Linked DNA regions of Cricetulus griseus. The protein of the gene in region 5 interacts with the protein of the main gene of each other region in a pairwise test. Links are inferred from orthologs where the notes say so. Each region holds a gene or a part of one and is shown on either strand. Other genes may lie near its edges. The genes, in order: Snrpb2, Aen, Dnttip1, Mad2l1bp, Homez, Prkaa2 and Sdcbp.

What was found.
Region 1: the proteins of Homez (region 5) and Snrpb2 interact in binary tests that used the Homo sapiens proteins (3 or more experiments, as listed by UniProt). The two-hybrid records come from large-scale screens. The link is inferred for Cricetulus griseus from reciprocal best matches to the Homo sapiens genes HOMEZ and SNRPB2.
Region 2: the proteins of Homez (region 5) and Aen interact in binary tests that used the Homo sapiens proteins (3 or more experiments, as listed by UniProt). The two-hybrid records come from large-scale screens. The link is inferred for Cricetulus griseus from reciprocal best matches to the Homo sapiens genes HOMEZ and AEN.
Region 3: the proteins of Homez (region 5) and Dnttip1 interact in binary tests that used the Homo sapiens proteins (3 or more experiments, as listed by UniProt). The two-hybrid records come from large-scale screens. The link is inferred for Cricetulus griseus from reciprocal best matches to the Homo sapiens genes HOMEZ and DNTTIP1.
Region 4: the proteins of Homez (region 5) and Mad2l1bp interact in binary tests that used the Homo sapiens proteins (3 or more experiments, as listed by UniProt). The two-hybrid records come from large-scale screens. The link is inferred for Cricetulus griseus from reciprocal best matches to the Homo sapiens genes HOMEZ and MAD2L1BP.
Region 6: the proteins of Homez (region 5) and Prkaa2 interact in binary tests that used the Homo sapiens proteins (3 or more experiments, as listed by UniProt). The two-hybrid records come from large-scale screens. The link is inferred for Cricetulus griseus from reciprocal best matches to the Homo sapiens genes HOMEZ and PRKAA2.
Region 7: the proteins of Homez (region 5) and Sdcbp interact in binary tests that used the Homo sapiens proteins (3 or more experiments, as listed by UniProt). The two-hybrid records come from large-scale screens. The link is inferred for Cricetulus griseus from reciprocal best matches to the Homo sapiens genes HOMEZ and SDCBP.

Annotation. Positions count from the first base shown.
Region 1 is NC_048599.1:35,876,597-35,880,677, forward strand, and holds the start of Snrpb2 (U2 small nuclear ribonucleoprotein B''), read right to left. Parts: upstream 2,801-4,081; 5' UTR 2,686-2,800; intron 788-2,685; 5' UTR 763-787; coding exon 699-762; exon of another isoform or gene 609-698; intron 255-608; coding exon 82-254; intron 1-81. UniProt on the Homo sapiens protein: Involved in pre-mRNA splicing as component of the spliceosome. Associated with sn-RNP U2, where it contributes to the binding of stem loop IV of U2 snRNA.
Region 2 is NC_048596.1:118,717,369-118,721,439, forward strand, and holds the start of Aen (apoptosis-enhancing nuclease), read right to left. Parts: upstream 2,801-4,071; 5' UTR 2,702-2,800; intron 2,604-2,701; exon of another isoform or gene 2,454-2,603; intron 1-2,453. UniProt on the Homo sapiens protein: Exonuclease with activity against single- and double-stranded DNA and RNA. Mediates p53-induced apoptosis.
Region 3 is NC_048599.1:14,681,305-14,685,283, reverse strand, and holds the start of Dnttip1 (deoxynucleotidyltransferase terminal-interacting protein 1), read left to right. Parts: upstream 1-1,179; 5' UTR 1,180-1,246; coding exon 1,247-1,351; intron 1,352-1,906; coding exon 1,907-1,977; intron 1,978-2,586; coding exon 2,587-2,683; intron 2,684-3,979. UniProt on the Homo sapiens protein: Increases DNTT terminal deoxynucleotidyltransferase activity (in vitro). Also acts as a transcriptional regulator, binding to the consensus sequence 5'-GNTGCATG-3' following an AT-tract.
Region 4 is NW_023276963.1:39,225-43,366, reverse strand, and holds the start of Mad2l1bp (MAD2L1-binding protein), read right to left. Parts: upstream 2,801-4,142; 5' UTR 2,698-2,800; coding exon 2,643-2,697; intron 2,227-2,642; coding exon 1,964-2,226; intron 124-1,963; coding exon 1-123. UniProt on the Homo sapiens protein: May function to silence the spindle checkpoint and allow mitosis to proceed through anaphase by binding MAD2L1 after it has become dissociated from the MAD2L1-CDC20 complex.
Region 5 is NW_023276807.1:210,071,609-210,075,890, forward strand, and holds the start of Homez (homeobox and leucine zipper protein Homez), read right to left. Parts: upstream 2,801-4,282; 5' UTR 2,627-2,800; coding exon 2,620-2,626; exon of another isoform or gene 323-2,619; intron 1-322. Other genes in the region: protein phosphatase 1 regulatory subunit 3E, read right to left, coding at 2,801-3,223, 3,309-3,725. UniProt on the Homo sapiens protein: May function as a transcriptional regulator.
Region 6 is NC_048595.1:44,756,287-44,760,396, reverse strand, and holds the start of Prkaa2 (5'-AMP-activated protein kinase catalytic subunit alpha-2), read right to left. Parts: upstream 2,801-4,110; 5' UTR 2,770-2,800; coding exon 2,676-2,769; intron 1-2,675. UniProt on the Homo sapiens protein: Catalytic subunit of AMP-activated protein kinase (AMPK), an energy sensor protein kinase that plays a key role in regulating cellular energy metabolism.
Region 7 is NC_048595.1:154,135,917-154,139,416, reverse strand, and holds part of Sdcbp (syntenin-1), read left to right. Parts: intron 1-2,373; coding exon 2,374-2,535; intron 2,536-3,500. UniProt on the Homo sapiens protein: Multifunctional adapter protein involved in diverse array of functions including trafficking of transmembrane proteins, neuro and immunomodulation, exosome biogenesis, and tumorigenesis.

The DNA.
Region 1 (4,081 bases), on a different chromosome or scaffold from region 5:
GCCTAGCATCAAGTTCATACTTAAAACCTACTGTATCATTCAATAATAGTGATTAAAGCAGAAATAATAGGATTAGCTTACCATTGGTTTACCATAAAATGGAAATCCTTGTAACTGCCTCAAAGCATTTGTGGATGAACCCAGTTCCTTAAATATAACGAAAGCCTGCCCCCTCATCTTCATGGTCTTTAAAGCCACAATATCTACCACGTGTCCAAACTGAGAAAACAGGGCATACAGGGATCTCTTCAATTCTGTACAAATAAGAAGGAATTTGTGAACGAAACAATGACTAAGTTCTTCATAAAATAGCAATACAATGACTACCTCTATCATTCATTTATAGTAAATTGAAAAAAGAAACATCCAAACTATTCTCATTAGCCATCTAATTTAAATAGTTATTTGAAACCATTTATGAGTTAAAACAATTCAAAGCACTTCAGTCCCTGCATGTTCTTATATTAAAAAACCTTCGAGTTGTGTAAAAATGGGATAAACCATTGCAGAACAAATGAAAGATGACTAGATCAGACATTAAGAAACATTCTTAAGATAGGTGAACCAACACATTTTAGTTGTGAACAAGTATTTTTAAAAGAACATACCTTCGCCGGGCACTGGTGGAGCACGCCTTTAATCCCAGGCGTGCACCTGGGATTAAAAACAAAACAAAAAACAAAACAAACAAACCATACCTTCTTTTTTAATTTTATCATTCATATTGTTGATATAAATCGTGTGATTTGGTCTGATATCCATGTTTGAGTAAAACCTTTGGAATAGCCTAAAAGAAATAAGTAATATGTTGTTAGCAAGGGGGGTTAAAGCACACAGATGTATGGCATGACCAAAGACAAGAACCATTAGTTGATAAATTATTTTTGCCACCTCAGATGTCAGAAACTGTTAGTTGACAGTAGACAGCAATTCCTCCCTAGCCACTACTGGGGCTTTTTGGACAAAAAGAAAATAGTTCTCACGGTCAAAACTTAACAGAACACCAATACACACAGATTTAGAAACATTTTATTCAAGGTACTACATTTTCTTACCCAACCCCCAATAAATGATCTACATAATATTTTTTAAAATAAATAACTTTTTCGGGGTTGGTGGCGCAAGCCGTTAATCCCAGCACTAGGGAGACAGAAGCAGGGGATCTCTGTGAGTTCAAGGCCAGCCTGGTCTCCAGAGTGAGTGCCAGGATAGGCTCCAAAGCTACACAGAGAAATCCTGTCTCGAAAAAACAAACAAAATAATAATAACTTTTTAAAAGTATATTCACTAATTCTTTGAGGATGTCATACAATGCATTTTGATTATATTCACCAGAAATTATTTCGGTGATTTAAACATTTATGTAAGAAACTAGAAAGCATAAGCCTAGTTAGGAAAAAAAATATTGCAATAGAAAAATAAAATTTACAATGCAGTTCACAAGCGCATTCACAAACTATTTAAACGATTGTGTGTGTGTGTGTGTGTGTGTGTGTATGAGAGAGAGAGAGAGAGAGAGAGAGAGAGAGAGAGAGAGAGAGAGAGAGAGAGGGAGGGAGGGAGAGAGAGAGAGAGAGAGAGAGGGTCACCACTAATTCTAGGGTAAGAGAACAACCTTTCAAGGCCAGGTTCTCCTCTTCCACCATATGGGTCTCAGGGGCCCAACTCAAAGTGCTCAAGGTGGACAAAAAGCACCTTTACCAGTTGAGCCATCTCGACAGCCCTGAAACGTATTTCTTAATTTATACACATCACCTCCACGGCTGACCTCGAGATTCCCTCTGACAGATTTGAAAGGAATGATACTCTTAGCAAACAATCTAGAATGATAATTAAGAACTCGGATTCTGGCACCAATGAGATCCGGATTTAAATTCTGTCTATGCTTTTACAATCTGCTTTGCTGGGGGGCTAGTTCCTTACTTAATGCCTCGGGTCCTCAGCTACAAATTACGGATAGTAACAGCACCTACAAAATGGAGCCCAGAAGACTAAAGGAGACAGATACCTAACGGTCTGCATCAGCAAGCACCTAAAGTTACTATTTATTATTGACGGTTATTACAAGTTCAAGGGTCTGAACGTCACACAACACGCTGTGCTGAACATCATGGGATGGATGACTTACAAGAAGGGACTGCACTACGCAGGTCACAGTTAGTAGGTAACGTTTATCAAAGGCTTGCTTCCCTAAATGGGAACCTGGAGAAGGACTGGGGTCTCAAGGAAGACAGGGACCAGAGCAGAAACTCTGGCAGTAGCTCCTGCCGGCTGAAGGGGGGGCACCTGAAATGCCCCCGCCGCCCTCATCCAAAAGGCTGCTGAGGGCGGAGGGCTCAGAGTGTTCATCGGACCGTAAATGCCCCAAACAACCGCCCGTTCTTTACCCCAGGGCTGATTCCTAGGCAGCAGCTTGAGCCTCTTCACACACCGGTCAATCTGCCCAACGCGCGGGCCCCACGGGCGTTAAAAACCCAATCACTCCGTGAGAACCGGTCGCGACGCCGGGCCTCAACCCGCCAGCCCTTGGGTCGCCGTCCCTTCCTCCCCTAGGTCGCACTCTCCGCCGAGCCCGGGACCGCGCAGCAGACGACACCTTCGCCCTGGCCGGCTCGGTTGCCAGTGCGAGTATCCGGCCAAGCCCCCCGAAACCACCCACAGCTAGGAAGACTCAGAGGGACACACCTGAAGCAAGCTCCGTCCCGCTTGAAGCCAAAACCGGAAGAGCTTCCTGGCGCCGGAAGAGCGAGGCCACACTCCTCAATCGAACGCAGAGAAGTCGAGGAGCCGAGCACCGAGTCAATCGATATCTCCTGGCCCCGGCCTCCCGCACCGGAATCTTTCTGCGCATGCGCAGCCCTGAAGGGTGGCGAGGACTGTTACTGTGGGAAGGAGAGGATGAAATTAGGATCCAGGGGCCAAGCTGTGAAGGAGAGAAGGGAAGGGGATGGTTTTCTCCTACCTCGATGTTGAAGCTTCCCAACTTTAGGATGTGATACAGTTCTTCAGCCTGTCTCCAGAGACAAGTGGGCAAACCTTTCAATGAGTGCTGGCCAACTTTGCTTAATGCCACCTTTAGAATGGCCCTTTTCACTCCCGGAATTCAACCTCAGATTTCTGAGAGTCTGAAAGAACACTCCAGCACTCTGCAGATTACATTAGATGCAGCCCTGTCTTCGACCCCAGGGCGAAGAGAGTGTTTGTTGGTTCTCTCACCATGTTTCAGGAACAAGCAATCAACCTAAAGGTCACATGCCTAAACTCACTCAGAAACCATTAACTTCCTCCCACCCTCCTACTGTCTCCTTTCCTCACAAAATGTCTGGATTTTTCTAGGTTAAAAATTGGGGTGGGAACAAAATTGGTTGATTTCATTAGCTCGAGGCTTCTGGGGGTTTTTTTGTTTGTTTTGTTTTGTTTTGTTTTTTAATCACCTGAAGTTGTGGCATGGAAATAGTGTCTTGAGGGTAGATACTTTGTTTTGTTCACTGAAGTAATTGGAAGAATGACTGATAATAAATATGCATTGGATGAATGGATGAAGTTTCAGGAAATTAGGCCACAATGAAACAAGTGTGATATCTAGTGAGGATCCTGTAAGTGTAGGAACAACCATAGGAAAGTGTTCTTTAAGTATACACACATAGAAACCAGCCTGTTTTTTAAAAAGACTATTGAGTATAATACCCCTCCCCCTTTTTTCCGAGGCAGGGTTCTCTGTATTACTTTGAAGCCTGTCCTGAAACTTGCTCTTGTAGACCAGGCTGGTCTTGAACTCACAGAGATCCACTTGCCTCTGCCTCCCAAGTGCTGGAATTAAAGGCATGCACCATTACCTCCTGGTTTATTGAGTATATTCTGTTTTTTTTTTTTAGTATATTCTTAACAAAAGAACATCAAGTAAATATAAAAATAATTTCTAAGGAACAACAAGGTGCCCTGCCCATTAACACACACACACATCTAAGCAGCTAATTAACTGCTTGGTGGTAATGAGAGCAGCTCAAAAGCTTTTCCTGAAATAAGCGATCCGTTCACTGTGTTATATAAATAGATCTGGCCAAGAGTTCATAGCTATTTT
Region 2 (4,071 bases), on a different chromosome or scaffold from region 5:
ATAGGAATCCAGAGTCCATGCTCTGAAGTCAAGCTCACCTCTAAAAGTGGTAGCTTACAAGACTGCTGGGAGTATGAATACAGGGAAGCAAAGGTTTCAGAAACAGATTCCAGCTGAACATCATCACCGAAAATCCCTAAAGCTGAAATCTGCAGTGCAAGGTTTAACCTAGGTCTCTATAAATCACTGTGCTCCCATGTCTGACATACACATACCTCACACATAGTAAGGCTCAATAACTAGTCTCTGCTCCTTTCCTCCAGCAAGGCGATTCTCTTTCGGACACTGGGCAGCCAGCTATCCTTAGGCCAGAGCTGCCTCCATCTGGACTCACTGCTCTTCCCAAAATATACCCCTCCATCGCCTGCAGACCCAGCGGCAACTCTGTATCAGCAAATGCTGTTCTGGAACCCCTGCATCTCCCCAATGTTGCAAAGAGATTCTCTGGGGGTCCCAACTGTACCAGATGCTGGGCAGCTACTAAGATGGAACCCGGGCTGGGAAGCTTGGTTTGACCAGAGACACATAAATGCAGCACATGGTGTGCCAAGAGCTGGCCAGAGGTACGAGGAGGCCAAACAGACTCGGCCTGCAGGTGATTCCTAGAAGTCACTTCCATGTAAATGGAGAACAGTAACCCTTCAGAGAAGAGGGAGTGGGCAGTGGGAGACTCAGGAGCCACCTGAAGTCACCAGGTTACACCATAAAGTATAACAGGGATGACAGCTGGGGAGGCTGCTGCTTCCTTTTTACCACTTCATCTTCTGCCACTGACTTTCGAGGTCCTTCCACAAGCCACTCTTATCCTAGGCGAGTGTCCTCACCCTGATGTCTGTTGGTCAAGTGAGGGAGACCTGAGACACCCAGGTGGGCCAGTAAAATGTAGACCAGCAGCCCTAATCCAGGACATCAACTGTGTCTATTTGGGAGCAAAGAAATTCACCCTGTGAACTACAATACATTGGATTTTACACTCCTCCTCAGTCAACAGCTCAGTCTCAGACTGCCTCGAGTCAGCAAGCTGCAGAGCCGGACCATGTCTGCTGTCCCTCTCTTTGGGCAGACTCCTTTCAGAAGCTCAAGCCGGGCCTCCCAGTGACCGGCCCTGGGGTACTATAGAGCTCAATATTCTTGGAACCCCAGAGCAATGGGACTAACAGGAAGGGGACCTAGGACCCTGAGCAGGCACCCAAACAGGAAGAAACACTGAGTTAAGGAAGGCCTGGCAATAGAGGGGATGCTGCAGCATTTCAGACGGATTTCCCAGGTAGCCCAGGGAGGAAAAGGGTGCTCAGAAAAGGGAAGCAACAGGCACAAAGCTAAGAGCGGGGAGAAAGGACCAAGATTTTGGTGCAGTCTGTAAACAGCTAGGTAGCAGGAGGTACGGAGACAGGTGGAGTGGGGAATGGTGAGAGACTGCAAGCAAGCGACAGAGGATTGCGCTCAGTGACACAGGGGAGAGAGAGACTGGAAGGTTTTAGGGGAACATCACAGCTACTTCATTGGAGAAGGTTAGAGTAGGAGCCTGGGCAGTAGTAGCACAGGAGTAGGTAGCAAAGCCAGAGGGCAAGTCCTGTGTTTGCTGATGCCAGCACCTGCATGAGGAATATTGCCCCACTTAGCCAGGAGGAGACTCCATGACCCCTGCTGACTCACCTGCTCTCAGCAAGCTCAACCGGTCTCCAAATAGTACTCCCTCTTTTAAACAGAGGTTGTCAGCAACTTCTTCATATCCACAAACCACATCTTGGAACTGACAAATTCAGAATCTCAATTTGCCCTAGCCCAGCAATGGGAGAAAAACTGGCCCAGAAGACCTGTGCTGGTCCTGCTGACCACTGACTTTCCATGCTGGCAGGGTTTGAAAGAAGCTAATATTAGGTTCCCTTGAGGAAATGTCTCTAGTCTTGTATCTGAAGAGATAAAAGCAGTCATTTCCTATAGTCCCTGGCCCTGTGGACATGCCAGAACCAACAATTACCAAGGGAAACCACTGGATGGAACTCAATTTAGCTGCAGAGAAGTATTCAGAGGACACAGGCCTTTCAGCAAGGGCACACACAAATTTTTCTCGTCTTAAGTCTGGTCAGTATGATAGGCACTCGGCTTTCAGCTGAGGGTCCCTGACCCAAGAGGGCTCCCGATGAGAAGGCGCCCAAGAAACTGCAAAGCCAGAGACGTCAGTGGCCTAAGGGCCGTCTGCCTACCGGCAGACCAGGTCTCTATCAGAAGGCCGGTTTACCATCCTGTTCTAGCACGAAATAACCAGATGACCTCGGGAAGGCACTGTCGTCCCTCAACTATTAAGCGCGGGCTTTGACCAGGTAGCCCTAGGGAGAAGGCAAAGTTTAGGGACAAGACCCGAGACCCACCCTCAAGTCACGATTCTGATAATCATCCCAGTTAGGGAAAGCCTGGCGCAATAAGGCTCTCGGTGCTACCCAAAAGCTTACCAGACCAAAAGGGGTGGAAGAGGGGGAGTACGCTCTCCCCACTGGTTGTGGCGTCCGGTAGGCGATCCTCGCAGTCGCCGCCCCCCTCAGGCCCACAGCCCCCGAGAGCGGCCAGGACCGTGTGAGGCAGCACGCCGGTCTGACTGCACACCGCCCGGCCCGCCCCGCCCGCCGCCCCGCCCCGAGAGCGGCGGACACCTGGCATAGAGACCGGCGGCTCGGGACTCCCCGGCCGACCCCCAGCTCACCTAAAAACCCGGCCGCGTTTTCCCGGCCTACACGTGGAATCCTTGCCCGCCGCAGCGGCAGCTTGCCCGGACAAGCCCGGCTTCGGCTGCCTGTCTATTGGTTCGCTGGGCCGCAGCGCCCGCCTAAGGCCTTTGCTGATTGGTCTTCCTCGAGTAGGTGTGGCAGCCCAGAAGGGGAGGGACTACCTACGGGGCGTGGCTTGTGCGCGGAAAGGGCAGTGTTTGGAGGTTAGTAAGAGGTGCAATGACACTTAGCTCTTCAGTCCCAGACGCTAGTGAAGGCCTACGGTTTCTGATCTGATGCCCAATGAACTTCAACTTTCAAAGATCGGTTGACACACTTAGCACACCCACATCTGCCTAAGGGGGACTGCAGCCCCTCCCGCCTCTGGGTTTTGGAAATCTGGTGAAATATTAACAGTGAACCAGGGGTGTGTTGGCGCACGCCTTTAATCCCAGCACTTAGGAGGCAAAGGCAAGAGGATCTCTGTGAGTTCCAGACCAGTCTGGTCTACAGAGCAAGTTCCAGGACAACAAGGGCTACAGAGAAACCCTGGCTCGACTGTAATAAATAATAAAATAATCATAATAATACAGTATCTGATACATTGGAAAAATCAGGTTTGCTTCTTCTGGACTGATATTTCAATATTTAATATTTTTTTTGAGACAGGTTGCCTCTACATTTTCTTTTTTTCCTTGCGTCAAGTTGACTTAATGCCCTCACATTTTCTATGTAGCTAGCAGGAATTTGAACTTCTGATCCTCTTGCCTTTGACATCCCAGTGTTTGGATTACAACCTTTTGCCACCACACCCAGCGTACCTATTCCTTTGTGATACTTTTACTCATATACTTCTTTCCCTATGAAAAGTTTTGAAAATAGGATGGGAGAGTTGACCCAGGAGGTAAAAGGTACTTGCTCTGTAAGTCTGACAGCCTGAATTTGATCCACCAACTGCCTTGCAAAGCCAGAAGTGGTATCACACATGTGCGATCCCTGTACTCCTACAGGGAGATGGTACATGGAGACAGAAAAACTAAAGTTCTCTGGCTGGCTAGAGTAGAAGGATAGAAGCAGAAATGAAACACCCCAGTCAACAAAAAACTCCCTCAAGTTGTCCTCTAACCTGTATGGATGTGCTCATGCTCCCCCCACCCTCCCCCACACACACACCTGTGCACACGCTTGCATTTTAACAAGTAAAGTTTAAAAAGGAAAGCTAGAGGAGCTCATAGGCCCCAAAGGTGAACCTACCACTATTATTTTGCTAAATGGACAGACAGTATCAAATTTCCCTTAATAATCTGTATTTTCATAAATTAGATTGATGGAACTCTAAGACCTCATTAGAGAAGTTTCTTTGTGC
Region 3 (3,979 bases), on a different chromosome or scaffold from region 5:
GAACGGCCCTGGTAGTGAACAAAAGCTCAGTGTTCTTCCTTCCGTCCACAGGATCAGAAAGGGCCTTTGGCTTTCCTAGCCTCTGACAGAGGGAAGAACTGGAAAGACAACTTAAAAGAAAATAACCAAGCTAGTGGTGTAACTGAATCATAACATTCTGTCCATCCTTGGGAACTGTCAGAACCCACGAAAAAGCAGTATCCAAGTGTTGCAGCATCAATACAAAAAGTTTACAACTTGGTCCTTGTGGAAGGGAGTGAGAGTGACCATGCAGTTAATATGAGGGGAACAAAGATCCAGACCCACAGCCAATATTCTTAGCCCTTGGCTGAGACAGGGTCTTGCTATGCAGCCCAGGCTGGCCTCAAACTCCTGAGCCTCCTCCTACTTCTTCCTAAGTTCTGGGGTTATGTGCAACATCACACCTGCCACAGCCAATGCTAATAATCATATCACAACAGGACTGAACCTAGATCTTTCCTAACGCAAAACCCATACACTTTACACTACCTGATTACGGCAACCTGCGAAGAGTAACGTTATCAATCACCCGCAAATGAATCCAATTCTTTCACGGACACGCTTACCTCTGAGACAGTGCTAAGTGGGGCTCTTGTGGGTGTTTAGCCACTGTTGCTAAACCCTTCATCCCCAACCTATCCCAGAATAACCGTCTAGTGGAAAGGAAAGCCAGCTCTCTGGAACAGAGCAAGCTCAAAAGCCAAAACTCAACCTTCATTCTGATGCCTTCAGACAACAAGAGGCAGGCACTAAAGGCTAGTGGCTGTTTGTGATGGCACGAGCAGCCCTCTTTCTGTTGGCTTTCCTGGTTCCTGAGTCGGTCCGCTCCACTTCTGGGACCTTGTACCAATGTATCAGATTTTCCTGCGGTTTTCAAGACTGCACTGCGGACAGTCCCTATCCCAAACCCTGTGTTCCCCAGCTACAGCCTGTGCTCTGCGGCCCTCACATCCGCACTCGTCCCGGGGCCGAATGGTCCCCGAACACCCACACCCGGTCCCCAGCCGTCGTCTTCCAGGGGTTTGGAAGCCCCAACCTCGTCCCCACACCCAAGATCCGGAAATCCACCTAGACGCGGCTCCCAGGCGGCAGTTCGGTTCCCATAGCAACCGCTCGGCGCACCCGCGTCGCGCTTCCGGCCGGGTGGCCGGGACGCTCCCGTGACGTCACGGCGCCGCTTTCCGGTGGCTGAGTCGAGCTGAGGTTGTTGTGGGCCGGGGGCGCCATGGGGGCGACTGGCGACACCGAGCAGCCGCGGGGCCCCGGCGTGGCAGAACGAGGCGGCCTGGAGTTGGGCGACGCGGGCGCGGCGGGGCAGCCGGTTCTCACGGTGAGGGCGCCCGGGCGAGGCCGGGGCTCGGGCCGGGCAGGGCCTCGGGCTCCCGGGCTCCGGGCCCGCGGGCAAGAGAACGCGGCGGCTGTGCGGCCCTGGGGGTGCCGTTTTCTCCGTGCGACGACCCTGGATTCAGATTCTAGCTAGGTGACGTGGGCCTGATGTGACAAGCTCTGAGCGCCAGGCTTCTCTTCTGTGAAATGAACAGCAGTAACCCCAGCTTGATGGAGTTGTGGTGGGATGGGCTGATAAAGGCGGGTAGAGCGCCCTAACATCACCCGCCACAGGGTAGACGCTCGGTAAACACTGCTGCTCTTATCCTTGCCCTTCCAGAAAAAAAAAAAAAAAAGCGAGCTTAGGGCTTTTGAGGCAGAAAACATTTTCCCCAGTTCCTCCACCCTGACAGGGTTTTCCAGCCACTGAATTCCCCTTCACCCCAAGGTGGGAGAAGTGAGAAGCAAGAACGTCTATGTTTAGCTTTATGTATATCCACTGACCCCTCGTCCCCACCGTGAGGGGCCTCGGTGACATTTGCCCACTTGGTCCCCACAGAACCCTTGGAACATAATGATAAAACACCGGCAGGTGCAGCGAAGGGGCCGCCGCTCTCAGATGACCACAAGGTAAGGCTGGCCCTGGGTGAGACCGGGTGAGTGCTTTAGGAACCCCGCTGCGGGAGTCTGGGATGAGGAATTGGCAGAAAGAGGACTTGGGGTGGAGAGAGACTCGGGGGCTGGGATTCTTCCTGTGACCTTAAGTCAGTTCCACTTCCAAAAGAAAAACAGGAAAGGTAGTACAGTCTATTACGTTCTCTCGCGTTTATCGCCTCTGTGATGGAGAGAATGTAAAACCAAGATTCAGATGACCTTTGTAATGCAGGCTCTGACGATTATTAACCGGATAACTTTGGTTATCCTTAATTTCTCTTAGCCTCGGTTTTCTCAGCAGAGATGTGGGGCTACCAGTTAAGTGTGCAGCCTGGGGAAGGGAAAGAACCCAGGATGGGCCTTTGGAATTCTAGTTGTATTTTTGGCCTGGGTTATTGATAATCATTTATTAATCACAGCACTTGTCTGAGGCAGGTGGACCTTGGAGAGTTATGATGAAATAAAATGCTGTGTTTCTGTGATCTGCCAGACTTTGAGCACAAAGCTGGTTTTGTCCAGTACTGCTGGGCCACCTGGGGAGTATGTTTGGGACACTCCCTCTGACTGTCTCTCTTCTGAATGCAGTTTCACAGATCCAGCCATCTCTATGGATCTCCTCCGTGCTGTCTTGCAGCCAAGCATCAATGAGGAGATCCAGAGTGTCTTCAACAAGTACATGAAGGTGAGAGGCGTACAAAGCTAACAGCACTACGAAAACAAACAGTGCAGCCAGGTTCAGTGGTGGACCCAACTACTCAGGAGGCTGAGGCAGCTGACAGCCAGCTGAGACAGCATAGTAAGACCCCTTGATGGAGGAGAAAAGAATAGAGGCTGGAAAAGTAGCTCAGCTGTTAGTAGTGCAAACCCCCATCAGGCCACTCCCAGCTACCTGGAACTCCAGATCCAGGATCCAGTGCCCTCTTGTGGCCTCCGCAGGTATATACACAGAGTATACATTCCACAGATGCATACATGTAAAAATATTTGGGGGAAAAAAATCTTAAAAAGAGGGCTGGTGAGATGGCTCAGAGGTTAAGAGCACCGACTGATCTTCCAGAGGTCCTGAGTTCAATTCCCAGCAACCACATGGTGGCTCACAACCATCCATTATGAGATCTGGTGCCCTCTTCTGGTGTGCAGATATACATGGAAGCAGAATGTTGTATACATAATAAATAAATAAAATCTTAAAAAAAAAAAATCTTAAAAAGAAAAAGCCAGGTATGGTGACACATGCCTTTAATCCCAGCACCCAGCTCTTTGTGAGTTCAAGGCCAGCATGGTCTACATAGTGAGAAATGCATAGTGGGACCCTATCTCAAAAAGAGAGAAAAAGAAATAAAGGAAGAAATACGGGGGTGGGAATACAGGAAGACATCTAGACAGTCTGGCTGGTCTTTCCTCCTGTCACCAATTTCTCTTCATATTCATGCTACACAGAGAGAACTCAAGGTTTCAATTTTAAATATATACTCCAAAAATTTTTTCCACTGCTTGGAAGTAATATCTTTTTTTGCCAAATAGTTTCATTTTAATGTGTTCAGCACCCTTGATTAGAACATAAGAAATGACAAACTTTTGCCAGGCGATGGTGGTGCCCAACCTTAATTCCAGCACTCCGGGGGGCAGAGGCAGACAGATAGATCTGGTCTACAAAGCTACACAGAGAAACCCTGTCTTGAAAAATCAAAAAAAACGAAAAGAAAAGAAATGACGAAGTTTTTTATTGATTTTTAAAAAATACTATCAGCATCATTAGTTAAATAATTTGGGGCTGTGTGTATAGCTTAGAGCACTTATGTGAACAAAGCCCGGGGTTTGATCCCAAGCACTGAAAAAAATAGTAATCCATGATTAGCATATTGCCAGGCATGATTGCGAATGTGGAAGTTTATGAAACAAATAATAAATAAATGCTAGGGAATGAGTGAAAAGAAGAGGTGATGACTGGGACTTAAGGGAGAGTAGAACTAGGGTG
Region 4 (4,142 bases), on a different chromosome or scaffold from region 5:
TGTTCGGGTAAAGAAGTCTTCTAGGTGACTGAGGACACTCTCCAGTTCTGCCAGAGTCTGCTGACACTTCTTGCTGCTCACCTCAGTGGTGATCCTAGGTTTCTTCCTTACAGTGGCCTCTGCCTGTAAGACAAAGAATGATGGAAGAAAAGGATGTGTAGGATGAAGTGAATGGCCTTGGAGGAACCCCGTGGAGATACACAAGATTTCTGACATTGGGCTTTATCAGAAAGCATTAAATTAGGGAAATACATGCACTGTATAAACTACAGTTCTCTATGCCTTGAATCGCAAGATGGTATTGAAAAACTGTAGGGCACTGGGTGGTGGTGGCGCACGCCTTTAATCCCACCACTCGGAAGAGGCAGGTGGATCTCTGTGAGTTCAAGGCCAGCCTGGTCTACAAGAGCTAGTTCCAGAATAGCCTCCAAAGCCACATGGAAACCCTGTCTCGAAAAACCAAAAATAAAGAAAAGCTGGAGGGCATCAAAATAGTCACAAGGGGGTGAGAGGGCTCAGCAGTTAAAGGGGCTTGCTGCACAAGCCTGACAACCTGAGTTCAGATCCCCAGAACACAAGTAAAGACAGGAAAGAATGACTTCACAAAATTATCCTTTGACCTCCACTGTGGCACAGGTACCCAGTCTCTTCTCTCTCTCTCTCTCTCTCCCTCCCTCTCTCACACACTCACTCATTAATATATGCTTCCTCCTAAAATAGCAAGAAAAGAAGTTCATTAAGGGAGAAGAAGGAGTGAGTTAGAAAGAGCTCCCTGTAAAGAAAGCATGAAAGAATGTACAACATTGGCCACAAGCAAGAAGCTTCAGAAGGCTGGGCGTTGGTGGCGCACGCCTTTAATCCCAGCACTCCGGAGGCAGAGGCAGGTGGATCGAGGCCAGCCTGGTCTCCAGAGCGAGTGCCAGGATAGGCTCCAAAGCTGCACAGAGAAACCCTGTCTCAAAAAAACAAAAAACAAAAAGAAGCTTCAGAAGATAAAGAGACAGTCCCAGCACCAAATGGGGGGGGGGTGAATTAAGAGTTAGGAGAGCTGATTATCAACTGCTAGTAAAGGAGACACCCCCAGGAAGCAAGTCCACTAGACAGTGTAGGCAGGTAGAAAGCATGGGGGGCAGTGCTGAGCAAAAACCTCTGTGAGGAAACTCTGGGGAGAATTTTAATACCCTTTAACTTTTTTTTTTTTTTTGAATCATTTTTTAAGACAGGGTCTCATGGGGCTGGAGAGATGGATCTGCACTTAAGAGTACTGGCTGCTCTTCCAGAGGACCTGAGTTCATGGTGGCTCACAGCCATCTATAATGAAATCTGGTGCCCTTTTCTGCTGTACATATGTACATAATAAAATAAAAAAAAATCTTTAAAAAAATAAATTCTCCAAAGAAAATACATTAAAACAAAACCAAAAACAGAGGTGAAAATGTGGTGAGAAAAAAAAATTCAGATGTAAGCAGCTAGTTCAGGTGTGGGGTTATAGCTTAGTAATACAGCACTTCTCTAGTGTGTGGGAGGCCTTGGAGTCCCAAGAGTGGAGGGGAAGGAAGGGGAGGGGAAGGAAGGGAAGGAGGGAGGAGAGACCATTAAGGAAAGACAAGATGTGGTGGTGCACTCTTATAACCCAACAGTCACTGGGGAAGTTGAGAGGCAGGCAGATCTCTGGCCCCAACTACATAGCGAAATTCTGTTTCAAAAAAATAAAAAATTTAGAGAACAAATTCATGATGTCCTCATATGACACATACTAGGAAGAAAGAGTTTCAGACAGAGAGCAAGGGAAGAGTAGAGACACCACCAAGACCCAAGTGGGGCGAATTATGAGGAAGGGAAGACTTTGCAAAGGCCTAGGCTGCCACGGAAACTGAGGATTTCTTAACTCACTTTCCTACTTGTCCACCATCTAAGGGCCACAAGGTCTTCCCACCAATTTTCTTTCAAAGCCTGTGCATACCTGGGGAGATTTTCGGTAGAAGTTCTTAAGCTGTTCATAGGGCAGAGGGAGCTGTTGGCGTTGGTACATGATATGCTTTAGAAGTTCACAAGTAAACTGACAGCAGCCTTCCTGGCTCACGGGCCCTGGGAAAACCACCGGCACCAAGTCTCTCGGGCAAAAGGGCTCCGGAGGATTGGAAGGTTCCTGGGGTGGCGTGATGGCGGTCTCGGGGTCTATCTGGGGAGCATGAGTTTCTTCCGGCTTCTCGTACCAATCCAAATCTAGTCCGTGAATGAAAAGTTAAAGAGAGGGGGGATCAAAATCAGCATCACTCTTCTCGTTCCCAGGGGTCACAGCAGCAGACGCCCCCATACACCCTGGGCGGTGACAGGAGACCAGATGCTGGCCCGGCGGGGGGGCGACTTAAATGACATCGGACACAAGGAGGCTTTCGGAGACAGAGTGAGGCTTCGCTATGAAGGGTGGCGTGGGGGCCAGCACACCCGAAAGGACACGGCAGGAGAAGCAACTCCACACAAAGCGAGGAAGTGACCCACAGGGCCAGCTCGGGCCGGCCGGGACACCGGGAACCAAAGGGACAGGGAGGAACGACGGAGGAAGCGCAGCGGCTGACTTCCTCCAGGGAGGTAGCAGCAGGGAAGAAACAGGCCCCCAAGCTCTGGATCCCATGCCTTACCGGGCACGGCCACGGGAGCCGGCTCAGACAGGAACTCTGGCCTGGGCGCAGCCATCGCTACTGCTCAGTCGCCCTGCGGTTAAAATAAATAGACGCCGCGCGGAGCATCATGGGAAGCTAGCTTGAGCTCCACTTCCTGCAGCCTGCCAGCCGGAAGGGATTCAGCGCGGCCCCTGGGTGGTGGAGGGTGGAGTTGGCTGAGTTGAACCACACCCTGGCAAAGGAACGTTTGGCCCTCCCCACCTAGGCGACCCTTGCGACCCCTGGGGCCGCCTTCCTAAAGGCGCATCCTTTCACGACAGTTCACTGCGCACCTCTCACTGCGCCCTACTTCGTGCCAGGCCCTGTCCTAGGTGCTGGAGACTCAGCCACTGTCAAGTCAATCTGCAGCCCTATTGCGGATTAGACAATGGGCTTGCACCGGGGTTGTGAAGAACAGGGGCGCCCGCCCCACAGCGGGTTGCGGCAGGGTGAGACTTTAGGGCAGGGAAAGGGTGGTCCCCAGAATGTGTGCCCCGTGACCTATAGGTAAAGTTAGCTAGGTTAAAAGGATGATCCTAATGTTTGAGATCATGAGACACCACGTTCTCTGTTCAAGGACTAGAAGAAATTCATATTATAAAGAGTTACAGTTTTGTTGGGTGGTGGTGGCATACACCTTTAATCCCAGCACTCCTGTGAGTTGAGGCCAGTCTGGTCTACATAGCGATTTCCAGGACAGACAAGGCTAACAGGGAAACTGTTTCAAAAATAACAACAAAAGCAAAAGAGTTAAGCTTTGTGGGGGGCAGAGGAGGGGCAGGGGTTGGTTTTCCAAGACAGGATTTCCCTGTATAATGGCCCTAGCTGTGCTGGAACTCACTATGTAGACCAGGCTTGGAGAGTCACCTGACTCTGCCTCCATATTCTTGGATTAAAGGCGTGTTCCACCACTCCCAGTCTAGGGGGTTAAGGTTTTGTTTTTGGTTTTTGGTTTTTTTTTTTTTTTTTTTTTCCGAGACAGGGTTTCTCTGTGGCTTTGGAGGCTGTCCTGGAACTCACTTGTAGACCAGACTGGTCTTGAACTCACAGAGATCTGCCTGCCTCTGCCTCCCGAGTGCTGGGATTAACGGCGTGTGCCACCAACGCCCGGCTTACAAGTAATGTTTAAGTTTGAATATGATTTTTTCCTGTAGGTTGATGGGTAAATTTTTTCAATTAGGGCAGTGAGGAACCCTGGGAGATGCCACAGAGGGTAAGGAAGCTTTCCACTGAGCCTGATGACCTGAGTTCAAACAGGACCCACAAGGTGAAAAGAAAGACCAGACTCCCTCCACACCTCTCTGTGGCAGGCACACATACACACACACACACACACACAGTAGGGAAATACCTGTTATGGGGCTTGCAAGAAGATGTCAGAGAAGACAAAGGCATTTGCAGCCAGAACTGATGACCTGAATTCAGTCCTCCTGATATACATAATGGGAGAACAAAACAGACTTCCACACCAGCATTACA
Region 5 (4,282 bases):
GCGAGTTCTAGGACAGGCTCCAAGACACAGAGAAACCCTGTCTCAAAAAACCTAAATAAATAATGTACCTAGTCAAGGATAATGGAGGGAGAGGAAGGAAAGATGCCACGCCAGGTGGTATAGCGGGTTGGCCAGAGCCAGGAGAGAACCCAGTGTATGGAAAGCTGGCATTTACATTGGTTCCCGAGTTCTCTAGCAGGCTCATGGGCTAGTGCCTTTCTGACCCTGTAGAACTGGAATGCTGGCACAGGAGAAGGTGGGGTAAAAGTCTGGGCCCCTTGGAGGACAGGAAGGCACAGCATAATGAATGATGGTCTTTCCCTATGATAGAGGATATATAGCAAAGTTTTTAATTTTGTTCTTAATCAAAGAAAAATACATACCACCATGATTACCCACACAGACTATGGGAACCTCCTGGGCTCACAATCCCATACTCTTGAACAAATTACTGAGTCTGGACTTATTTCTAAAAGAGATAATGCTCAAGTCACAGTGCTGTTTTAAACATGCATGTCACACATTTAGCACACAAGTTAAATAGGATCTGTTAAGAAGTAACAGTCACACACACACACACACACACACACACACACACACACACACACACACTAGGAATGATGCCACCACAATGGAACCTCCACCCAGTCTCCCTGGGTTCCTTGTTGAAGATTAGAGAGTGACCAGAGTTTGGTGGTTTCCAGTACAGTGCCTCCTGCGACTTTGCTGAACCTGAAGGTGATCCCCAGGAAACATCAAACTGTTTTCTGTACAAGGTCAGAAGATGCTTAGATGTGAATGTTTGATGAATGACTGCAGGGGCAAAGGGACAAGCCCCAAACTGAATTCTGAATGATGTGTGGGTACCTGGCAGGGAAGAGGTGGAGTGAGAAACTGGCTGTGGACAGGGATTTCTCAAGGGAAAGGGGATGCCCCGTAGAGACCAACAAGGGTGAAGAGTGGAAATAAAGGCAAAAGTCCTACATGTTCAAAGAAACAAGTGAGGGGGCTGGAGAGATGGCTCAGAGGTTAAGAGCACTGGCTGCTCTTCCAGAGGTCCCGAGTTCAATTCCCAGCAACTACATGGTGGCTCACAACCATCTGTAATGAGATCTGGTGACCTCTTCTGGCCTGTAAGCAAACATGCAGGCAGAACACTGCATACACAATAAATGAATAAATCTTAAAAAAGAAAGAAGGGAAAGGGAAAGACAAGGAAAGGAAAAACAACCAGCAAAACCCAACTCTCACCTGGAGCCTCCCTAGGAAGGGCATGAGGTGTGAATGTGGGCATTGCATTAGGCTCCAGGTTCTCCATTTCATTGACTTGGATATGGATCAAACTGTCACCTCTGCCTTCATTTTTTGTTTTCTATTTCTTATACCCATGACCTCCAGAGTTCCAACTGTTCCATTCTGGGGCTACCATGCATCACTTTCCCTAACAGTAATACTGGTCTCCGTTTTCTCACGGGACTGGGGCTCTAAGTCTGTGGAAGTTAAGAGCAAATGGCACAGGGTGAGCTGTGGCGTGGAACACACTGAGGCTATGGGCTGCTTATGGGCTGTATCCTGGATCATCTGTGCCCCACTCCCAAAAAGTGGTGTGTGTGTGGGGGAGACTATCCTCATCTCCAACCACAGACTCACTGTGCTAGGTAAGCCTTGCTGCTGCTTTTAATTTTCTGAGACAGTCTCATGTAGCCCAGGATAGATTAAATAATCAATCATATTAGCTGGCTGGCCTCAAACTCAACAGTCTCCCTGTGTGTGTCACAACACCTGGCTTGCCCTGTGGGCTTTAATTGTAGCACTAGATTGGAGAATACAGTTTCTAACCTATACTGTGCCATGAACAGATCATGAGACACCAAAATGTAGCCCTAAAAACATAGTGGCTCACACCAATAACCCCAGCACAGCAGGGGCTAGGGCAGGAGACCCTGGGCTAGAGACCCTGTCCAGAAAAAAAAAAAAAAAGGAACCTTAAGGGACCACCTAACTCAAATCCAATTTCTCACAGAGGAACCTGGAGTCCAAAAAGATAAAATAACCTGCTCAATCATACAGATACTTGGTGGTTTCCTCTTCTTTCAGAGGCACAAAGAATAAATCAGTAGTGATTTTCATGATTCACTGTCCCTCCGCAGACAGTCCACAAAGTGCTTCAAGGTTTTAAGAGGCACCCAGAAAAGTAAGGCTGGCATTCATTTTTCTGGAAGCCTGATTATGCAAACCCCTTAGATGCCCCATTATTTGACTACAAGGGCAGGCTTGGAGTTGGTTTTGCCACCATCTGCAGATGCCACCAAGGCTCGCCCCGTGGCTGAAGGACTCTCTCCCATGTTTCCTTGAAGACTGAAGCCAGGAACTGCTGAGAGTCAAGGGAATGCTGTCACACTGCCAGGGCCCAGGGGCAATGGTCAAATTCCTGGGGTTAAGCAAGGCAATTTCGGCTCAGATAAAGCTAGGGTGGGCAGGGCACGGGGACCTGAGGTGGTAGGGCCAGTGAGAGGGAAGCAAACCGAATGACTTCACTGGGCTTCCTAGCCCAAGGAGGCTTCACTTTCCAGAGCCCTTCTGGGCCTCTTATCTCGAGTTCCTTCCGCTTACACCTACCTGCCATTTTCCACCCTAATCTCTTGAGTTTCACAGACGGTTTCCAGCCACCTCGACTTGACTCTCTGGGACCGCCCTCCACCCATCTGCCAATTGTGGTTCCCGGGTTCCTGGCGCCACAGTCTCCCCCCACGCCTGGGTGCCACTGTTTTGTCCCTGCTGTGGCCAGCAGGAGCCTAGTTCAAATAAAATGGATCCAGCCCTGGGGCTCCGCGGCTCCGGCACCACCAGGGTGCTCGGGCCCAAGCAGCGCGTAGTCCCGGCCACCGTTGTTGTCCCAGAACTCGCGGCCGGTCACGCGGTAGCGCAGGGCGAAGAGCAGGGCGCCGCCGACCGGAGGCGCCGGCAGGCGGAAGGAGAAGCGGTCAGCCCGCGGCGGGGCCGGGGCAGGGCCGGCGTAGGCGGCGGGCGACTCCCGCAGGCTGCGCCAGCCGTCCGCGCTCCAGCGCACGCTCACGCGCTTCTCGTAGGCCAGGTCCAGCACGCGCGCGCTCCCGGCCACGCCCAGCGGGCCCGCGTCGGCGCGCTCCAGGCAGATGCGCTGCGCCTGCAGGCGGGCGGCGAAGCCGGGCTCCAGGGCGGGCTCCAGGGCCACGCGCGCCTCCTGAGGAGAGAGGGCGGGGAGGCGGGTCAGAGGAGGGCTTGGAGCGCGGAGGCCGAGGTCCCGGGGACGGGGGCGGGGCGCCTACCTGGAGGCCGCGGGCGCGCGGCGGGCACGGCGCGAAGTGGCGCAGGGCGTCCCTCTGCAGTTGCACCTGCACGTGGCGGGGCACCCGGGGCGGCTCCCCCGGGCGGAAGCGGCGGACCACGACCAGCTCTAGCCCCAGCGCGTCAGCGAAACGCACTCTCTTGCGAGTGTCAGGGCTGCGGCTGCGGGCTGCCCGCGCCCCGCCGCCACCTGCGGGCGCAGAGCGGGCCCTGCGCCCCCGACCCGGAACGTGAGCCCGCGAGCGGGCGCCGGGCCGGGTCCCGCCCTCCCCCGGCTCCTCCTCCGACTCCTCCTCGAGGCTGGGCCGCTGGCTGCGGTAGTAGGCACGTTCGGTCAGCGCTGCTATAAAGCTCAGGTTGCGAGGGATGTCGGTGCGCGGAGGCCGCTCGCGGGACATGGCACCCCTGCGCCCCAGCGGGGCCGGCGCACAGTGCCCGCCCGGCGCGTCCTCACTCGGCCACCCGCTCCGCGTCCGCGCATAGGGCGGAAGGCTGCTTCGGCAGCTGCTAGCCCTGGACTCGCCTTCTTGCTGTCACCTCGCGTTCTTGGCCTGGCGGGTTTCCTTGACCACCTTTCCCTGCCTTTGGCGGTCAACCCCACTGTCTTCTAAGACTGTCGGTCCTGCCGGCTTCCCGCTGTCTGCTCTGAGCGTGCGCTCAACGGCGCTCTCCCTTCGGTTCTGCGGGCCTCGCTGACCCGGCCCCCGCCCACAGCCCTCTGACAGGTGGCTCGGCATCTATCTTCCCTGCTGCACCAGGGGGCGGGACTGACTCCACCCTCGGGGTCCCAAATGAGTAACTCCAGTATGAGAAGGGTTAAAGCGGGGAGGAAAGAGTAATCCTTCATTTTCTTGCATGGAAAGTTCAAAATGCCGAGAGGCTAATTCTCTTCCCCAGAGCTCAGTGTTTTCTTAAACCCAGGCTACAGGTTTGGGATAGAGGTGAAGATGGGCGT
Region 6 (4,110 bases), on a different chromosome or scaffold from region 5:
TATATATATATATATATTCATTCCTTGGATAAGATAGGAGCGCAAGAGGGCCAACTCCTAGCTGAGAAGCAACTGGCAGTTGACAGCTTGACAGCTGCTCATCTGGCTGGGGATTGGAGGCTAGTTTTCTTCAGATGTGACTCCTGGTAGGTTGCCCATGCTCCAGTGGTTGGCCCTATACCCATGCACAGATTGGCAGCACCATGTGGACTCAGTGAGTTAAAAAAAAGGAGTACATAAACTTGGAATGGAGACGTGGCAGTGTATGATAGGAGTTGAAGGGGAGAGAGTAGGGGGTGTATTTGATTAAAGCACATTGTATATAAGTATGAAATTGTTAAATAAGTAAAAATGTATTTTTAAATGTACATGCTTTGTTTCACCTTGAATTAACTGAACAACTGGAGTTGGACTTACTACAAACCACATGCCCTAGTTTAATTTCTGTCATAAAACACCCTGACTAAAAGCAACTCAGTGGAGAAAGAGAGTATTTTAACTCAAAATTCCAGATGCCATCCATTTCTGGGAAGTCATGGCAAGAACTTGAAGCAGCCACATCCTTAGTCAAGAGCAGAGAGAGAATGCATGCAAGCATGTTTGCTCATGCTCAGTCCTCTCTCCACACTTCTACAGTCCAGGCCCCAAACCCAGAATGGGTGGGTCTTTTCATTTCAATTAATACAACCTAAGCAATTCCCACAGATATGCCCACAAGCTAAGTAATCTAAGTGATCCTTCATCAAGATGACCTTCCGAGAATATGCTACCTTGGGTGAATCGGTTAAAAAAATTAGCTATTGCACCACAGTGTCTCCTTAGGAAGATCAAACAGTGTCAGGAAAACTTCAACCAGTTGCTCATTCCACCAGGGTTCTCCAGGAAAAGGATTTTCCCCATAAATCAAAGGTCCCTTCTGTTAGGTTTGCAGTTTAGGAAGGTGGCGCTTAGAAGCAGAGAGAAAATATGACCTAAATAGATTTAAATTATCCTTTGACAATGGGCTGGACAAACAAAAGCACTTAGCAGAATGTGAAAGAATATAGGGCTAAGCTATATAACTAACCCTAAATGGCAAAGCAACTGTCGCTTAACTGCGCAATGTCTTAACAAAGCAGTTCTCAGCAAAGATGTTGTCAACATCATTCATTAATCTCTGGATCTTCTCCTGTTCTTCCAAGACCCCAACTGATTTTCATCTCAACTTCATAGCCTTCACAAGACTTCAAAGAATTTCACAAACAATTTAGGTCTTTACAAAAATACCCACTCAGGAACACCACGTGTGACCACTTCATTATAATCTGCCAACCTCACAAAACTGCCCTCTGCTCGCCTATTCTCGGGCTTCACACGTGTATTCTGATTGTCCTGGTAGAAAGTAAGCCCCAGGAAAGCTCAGGTTTTGTTCTTTCCTAGAAGTCTGCTGCCTGGAACAGTGCCTCATGTGTGCTAAGAGTTCTCAGTAAGTGTTTTCTCGTTGTACAAATGGGTATAAGATATACCAAGAACAGGGGTCAGTCGTTGAGAAATGACGCGTCTCTCCCTCCTACTTTTAACCCAAGTCTTCACTTGAGGTTAAAATGTAAAATAAACCTCGGCATAACATTTCTAGACTGCTTACCCAACAACATTTATCCAACAACAACAAAAAGCTAATGTTTCACTTTTAATTCTCAACTTGCTACCAAGTATTTTTAACAAGAGCTGTTAAGAGGACAGGTAAGCAAAGCCCATGTGACTCTTATTAACTAATAAGAAAGCAAAGCAAAGTTTAATACTTAACTAGAAAGTACAGTGCGAAATTTCCAAAGCTGCCTGTTTTGTGTGTATTTGTTTTGGCTTTTTTGTTTTGTTGCTACTGTTGTTACTGTTTTCTAAACCCCAATTGCAATCCCTTCACCAAAGACAGCAAACCTCAAGAACACATGCCTAAGCAATCCTGACCTCTTGGGCCCCAAATTCCATCACAAAGGATCGTTTGTTGCGACCCTGACCCCAGAAACCTTTCTCAAACATTTTACACACCAATCAACCTGCAGAGACCGGGGTGGGGGTGGGGGTGGGGGTGCAACCTACTGCATTCCAGCATTTCACACACTCAGCAAAGGAACCCCCCACCTCCTGGCTCTAGGCATGCCCCCCAGTCAACTCCACCATCAAAGTCTGGTACAGGGAGGTATAATAGGGAAGGCAGGGACCTCTCAGCAAGGCCAAAATTGGAGGACATCTTAGACTTCAGACCCTGGATCTGCCAATTCTCTGTGACCTTGGGCGTGTCGCTGGAGCCTTGGGGTTTGCGTTCTCTCACCTTTAAGGTGAAAACCACACCCGGACCGTGCCACATTAAGGAATGACTGAGGTCACAGGTGACGCTCCACGCAGGGCATCTGGCACGAGTGGGAGACTCACTCCCAATCCACGGCGCGGTGTCTCTCCCATCCTCCCCATGCTTCAGGGCCCTTCAGACTGGGCCAGTCGCCCAGTTCTGCAGACAAGCGCTCTGAGGGATAAAGAAGGGACTGGGGACTCGCAGGGACCGCCGAGGCATAGCTCATAACGCGGGCTCCCCCGACCCACGCCCGGGGCTGCTGCGCGAGATGCTGGGGGCTCCCCGGCTCGCCCGCGGGCTCTCCACCTGCCGCCCGGCCCCCCGCCGGCATCGCTGCACTCACTCTTCACTTTGCCGAAGGTGCCGACGCCCAGGGTGTCCCCCAGCACGTAATGCCCGATCTTCACCCTCCCGTCGTGCTTCTGCTTCTCAGCCATGTTCGGCGCACGGCCTCCCTCGGCCGCGGGCCCTCAGCGCCGCCGCCACCGCCGCCGCCGCCGCCTACCCACAGTGCAGCGGGCCCAGGGGGCGGGACGGGGACGCCGGGGGCGCCGGGCGCGGTGGGGCTGGCGAAGCCGGTGGGACGCAGAGCCCAGGCGCCCTGAGGAAAGCCCCAAGGAGTGCAGATGGGAGGGACGAATCTGAGCGCGACAGAGACGGAAGGAGAATCTGCAAAGAAGTGGGGGAGAGGGGGTGTGGACAGTGAGACTTCCCTCGGGGCAGGTGGGGTGGACGCTGGGGTGGGCGGCTCTCCTCTACCCCCCGGGATGCTCCTCCGGTCAAGGCTCGATTGTCTGGGGACGTTCTAGTCTGTACCCTCTCATAACTCACGCTTGTTTTGCAGTTCCTAGTCGTGTTATTGTTGGATCTCAAACCAAGGACAAATGGCTAACTGGGGCGCCTGTTAAATGATCAGAGGTGATGCTGGCCGCCAGGTTGTCCCAGCATCCCTCCATCTCCACCCTACAGTCCTCCTGGCTGGCCTACCCCGCCCCCTACCTTGAACTCTGCAGCCCTGGCTGCCACTTCCCCCAGCTCCTCTGGCCCCCATCTACCTCAGCCATTTTGGCTACATTGGTCCAGGCTCTTCTCTTGCTCTCCCTCCCCCCCCCTTTCTCCTCACGTGGTCCTGCTCAGTATGGCCCTGTTCACTCTGGACCCTCCCAGATGTCTCTGCCTTGCTTCTGCCGTTTTGTCCGCTTTTATTTACAATAAATCTTTCCCACTCTCTTAGGTTTTCTATTGCTGTAGGGGGGGAAATGACCAAAATGCAAGTTAGGGAGCAAAGGGTTTGTTCGCTTTACACTTCCACAACATTGTTCATCATCAAAGTCAGGGCAGGAACCTGAAGGCAGGAGCTGATGCAGAGGCCATGAAGGAGTGCTGCTTACTAGCTTGATTCCCATGGCTTGCTGAGCCTGGTTTTTTTTTTTTTTTTTGGGGGGGGGGGGGGTTTCGAGACAGGGTTTCTCTGTGTAGCTTTGGAGCCTATCCTGGCACTCGCTCTGGAGACCAGGCTGGCCTCGAACTCACAGAGATCAGCCTGCCTCTGCCTCCCGAGTGCTGGGATTAAAGGCATGCGCCTCTAATGCCCGGGGGAGCCTGCTTTTTTATAGAAACCAGGACCACCTGTCCAGGGATGGCACTACCCACAATGGCTGCGCCCTCCCCCATTAATCACTAATTAAGAAAATGCATTACAGCCGGATATTATGGAGGCATTTTCTCAGGTGAGGTTCCCTCCTTCCTGATAACTCTCTGTATCAAGTTGACAAGCC
Region 7 (3,500 bases), on a different chromosome or scaffold from region 5:
TGATATTTATAGAAAGTTTATCTTCTAGCACAGAAAAAACAAACAATTAATAGGTTTTATTTTAGTAACTGGCTCAGAGGCCAGTTAGTATATCTGACTTCCTTTGCCCAGGTCTGCATTCTTTGTTCCCTTTGATTTGATTAGCACACCAATGTCCCCTCCCCATTTGCATGTTTCTTGCCTCAAAGGTAATCTGGTTTCCTTTAGAATTATCTACATAATAAGGCTCTTTGGTGTGCTCTTTTTCTTTCTCTATCATTTTGTTCTATTTAATTTGTTCTGGAGATTTTTATTAACTCTTCTCCACAGTGACAGTTTCATTTTACATGCTGTGTAATTTTGGTTTTTGTATTTCATCTAGTTCTCTGCCCCAACATTATTAAAATTATGTATATTGAAGGTGTACAGCATATCGTGTATCAATTTATGTATGTTGTGAAGTGTTCCCACAGTCAAGCCAACCCCTATATCTATCCCTTCCTAGAGTTACAACATTTTAGAATATAGTTATAACACTGGCAAGTTTCAGTTACAAAGATTGACAAGCCATGGTTACTGTGCTGTTCATTAGCACCCCAGACTTACTTTTATCATTGAAAGTCTGTCTACTTTGTCCATCTCCCCATTCTTCTTCTGCCCATCCCTTACCCCCTCTAATCCTGATACTACTTATAGTTTTCATATCAACATCAGACTGTACTATCGTTTTGTCTTTGACATATTTCCTTTAGTATAATGCCCCCAGGGTCATCATACAGTCCAACTGCCCATGTTTTTATGGCTTGAGTATTATGACATTGTGTATCTCTAGACAACATTTTCTTTCTTCATCTGTTGACAGATACTTGCTTCTAAGCTTTGGTCACTATGAGTAATGAATATGGGTATGCAGTTATCATTGGGATTTAGTGATTTTTATTTCCCTTTTGCTTTTGCCCAGAAGTAGGATTGTTTGACCTAGGGCAAGTACATTTTCATTTTATGAGGATCCTCCATATGGTTTTTCATAATGGTTATACTGAGTACATTTGGTGTATGGCAATGCACAGAAGTTTACCAACATTTCTGTCTTTTTGGTAGATAAACTTTTATGTGAGGTGGTAGTGCCATTTCCTGGCTTTGATTTGCATCTTCTAATGATAAATGATCCCTTTCACATTCCCATGAGCCATTTGTTACCTTTGGGAAAATAGCTTATGTAGGCACGTTGCCCATTTTTTAAGTTGATTTACTTGCTTTTCTTTGTTGACTTTTGAGAACAGCTTTTTTGCTGTTCTTTATACATCTGGATACTTGTCCCTTAATATATGATTTGTAAATAACTTCTCCATTCCCATTGGTTGCTCTCTTCCTGTGACCTTTTTTGTTTGTTTTGAGGCAGGGTCTCTCTATGTAGACCATGCTGGCCTTGAACTTACAGAGATCTACTTATCTCTGCTAGGATCAAAGGTATGTGCCACCATGCCTGGCCCCAGCTGTGAAGAAACTTTTTAAGTTTGATATAGTCCTACTTACTGATTTTTGCTTATGCTTCTGGTGAAAAATAATAAAAAAAAATACATTGTCAAGATAAGTGTCAAAGAGATTTGTGTTTTCTCCTAGCTCTATGTTGTGAGCAGATCTTAACAGTTAAGATTTTGAATCCATTTGGAGCTGGTGTTTATATTTGGTAAAAGATCAGCCCCAGCCACTGCCCTGCTCATGATACTTCTGTTTTCCCAATATCATTATACATGTGGTGACTTTGTCAAGAGTAGTTTAATATAAATGTTTTTATGTCATCTCTTTATTTCATTCCTGATATAAATCCTTGTTCATATTTGGCTTATTTTTAAATAGGTAATTTTATAATTATACCAGAGAAATCTTCTGGAGAATTCGTGCTGTAAAAATCCAGTGTGACCTGTTAGTTCTAGGAAATTATGTTTGAAATGAAGGTAAAACATAGTTGTAGGTGACAGGGATATCTTGTGAGAAATGATTCATGTGTTGCTTTCAGTGCTGTGCCATCTTCATATAGTATAGCCCTCATTGGACAAGGCAGTCTTTTGAGACTGTTGCCACTTACATGTTCTCTGGTTGAGGCAGTTTGGCAGCAGATGATGATTGATACACAGGAGTGCCAGTTGACTTAAAGTAACAAGCCTAGAGCAAAACCACTGAATCTTATCTACCCAAGGTTAATGGAGTAAATCAGTAGAGGAATGGAGAAGTGAAAAACCAGTGTCATTATTGTAGAACTCAGACTTCACCTGAGTGAACTTATTTGTGGAATAGTATTTGTAAGAACTAGAACTGTGCATGCTCCAGTTTTCTGTAGATTACTTTCAAGGAAAGTGTTTCTAAATATTGACCAATTATGTGTTTTTCCAGCAGTTGGTAGCAAGACCATCCAGTGTGAACTATATGGTAGCACCTGTGACAGGTAACGATGCTGGAATTCGGAGAGCAGAAATTAAACAAGGGATTCGTGAAGTTATTCTGTGTAAGGATCAAGATGGAAAAATTGGGCTCAGACTTAAGTCAATAGATAATGTAAGTATTTATATTTTTGAACTTATCTAAATAGGTCATGAAATTTTAATATCAAATAATTTGAAATGAAAATAGTTTGACCGGCTGTAATGACACATCCCCAATGAGGAATGTTACGAATCTACTAATTTAAATTTTCTACCTGTTCGGAAGAAGCTGTGCTGGAACTTGCAAGCAGATCACTGCAAACAAGCTTTTCTTTTTGATTCTCTTTACTGAATGCTGTCATGGGGTTTGCATAAACCACGTGATAGAATTTATGTGATAGAATATAGGCTTGACATAGGGCAGCGTATGTGAAAGTAAAGGGAAAATTGAAGAGTAAGAATTGGGTGTGCACTTGTAAACTAAGTGATAATTATTTGTGAGATGACTTTGCAAGTTTATTATTTCTATTTATAAAACTTGCACTTGATAGGCCATTTGTGAACAAGTTGTTTGTAATTTAGGCAGTGAATCACCTTGCCACACTAAAGACATGAAATCTCAGATACATTTTAAAATGTTATGGACATGGTAGATCTCATAAACGTCAATTTACAATCTTTCTTTCTTTCTTTCTTTCTTTCTTTCTTTTTTTTTTTTTGGATTCTTTGTGGCTTTGGAGCTGTCCTGGAACTAGCTCTTGTAGACCAGGCTGGTCTCGAACTCACAGAGATCTTCCTGCCTCTGCCTCTCGAGTGCTGGGACTAAAGGAGTGTGCCACCACACACACCCCCTTGCTCTATTTCTTTTTTATAGCCATTATCTTATTGATTCTGTTTCAGTCTTAAGGCTCCTTAGCTTAGTGAGTCCAAGTTTCCACAAACAAAATAAGTGGCACACTGTTTAGGTGAATGAGGCTGACCTGGGCAGGAAAAGCCAGCACTACCTTTCCACTCAAAGGGCTGAGAGCATGATTGTATGTAGCCCTCGGCACATGTTCAAGACACACCATTGTGTTTTTGTAAAGTCCTGACCTCACT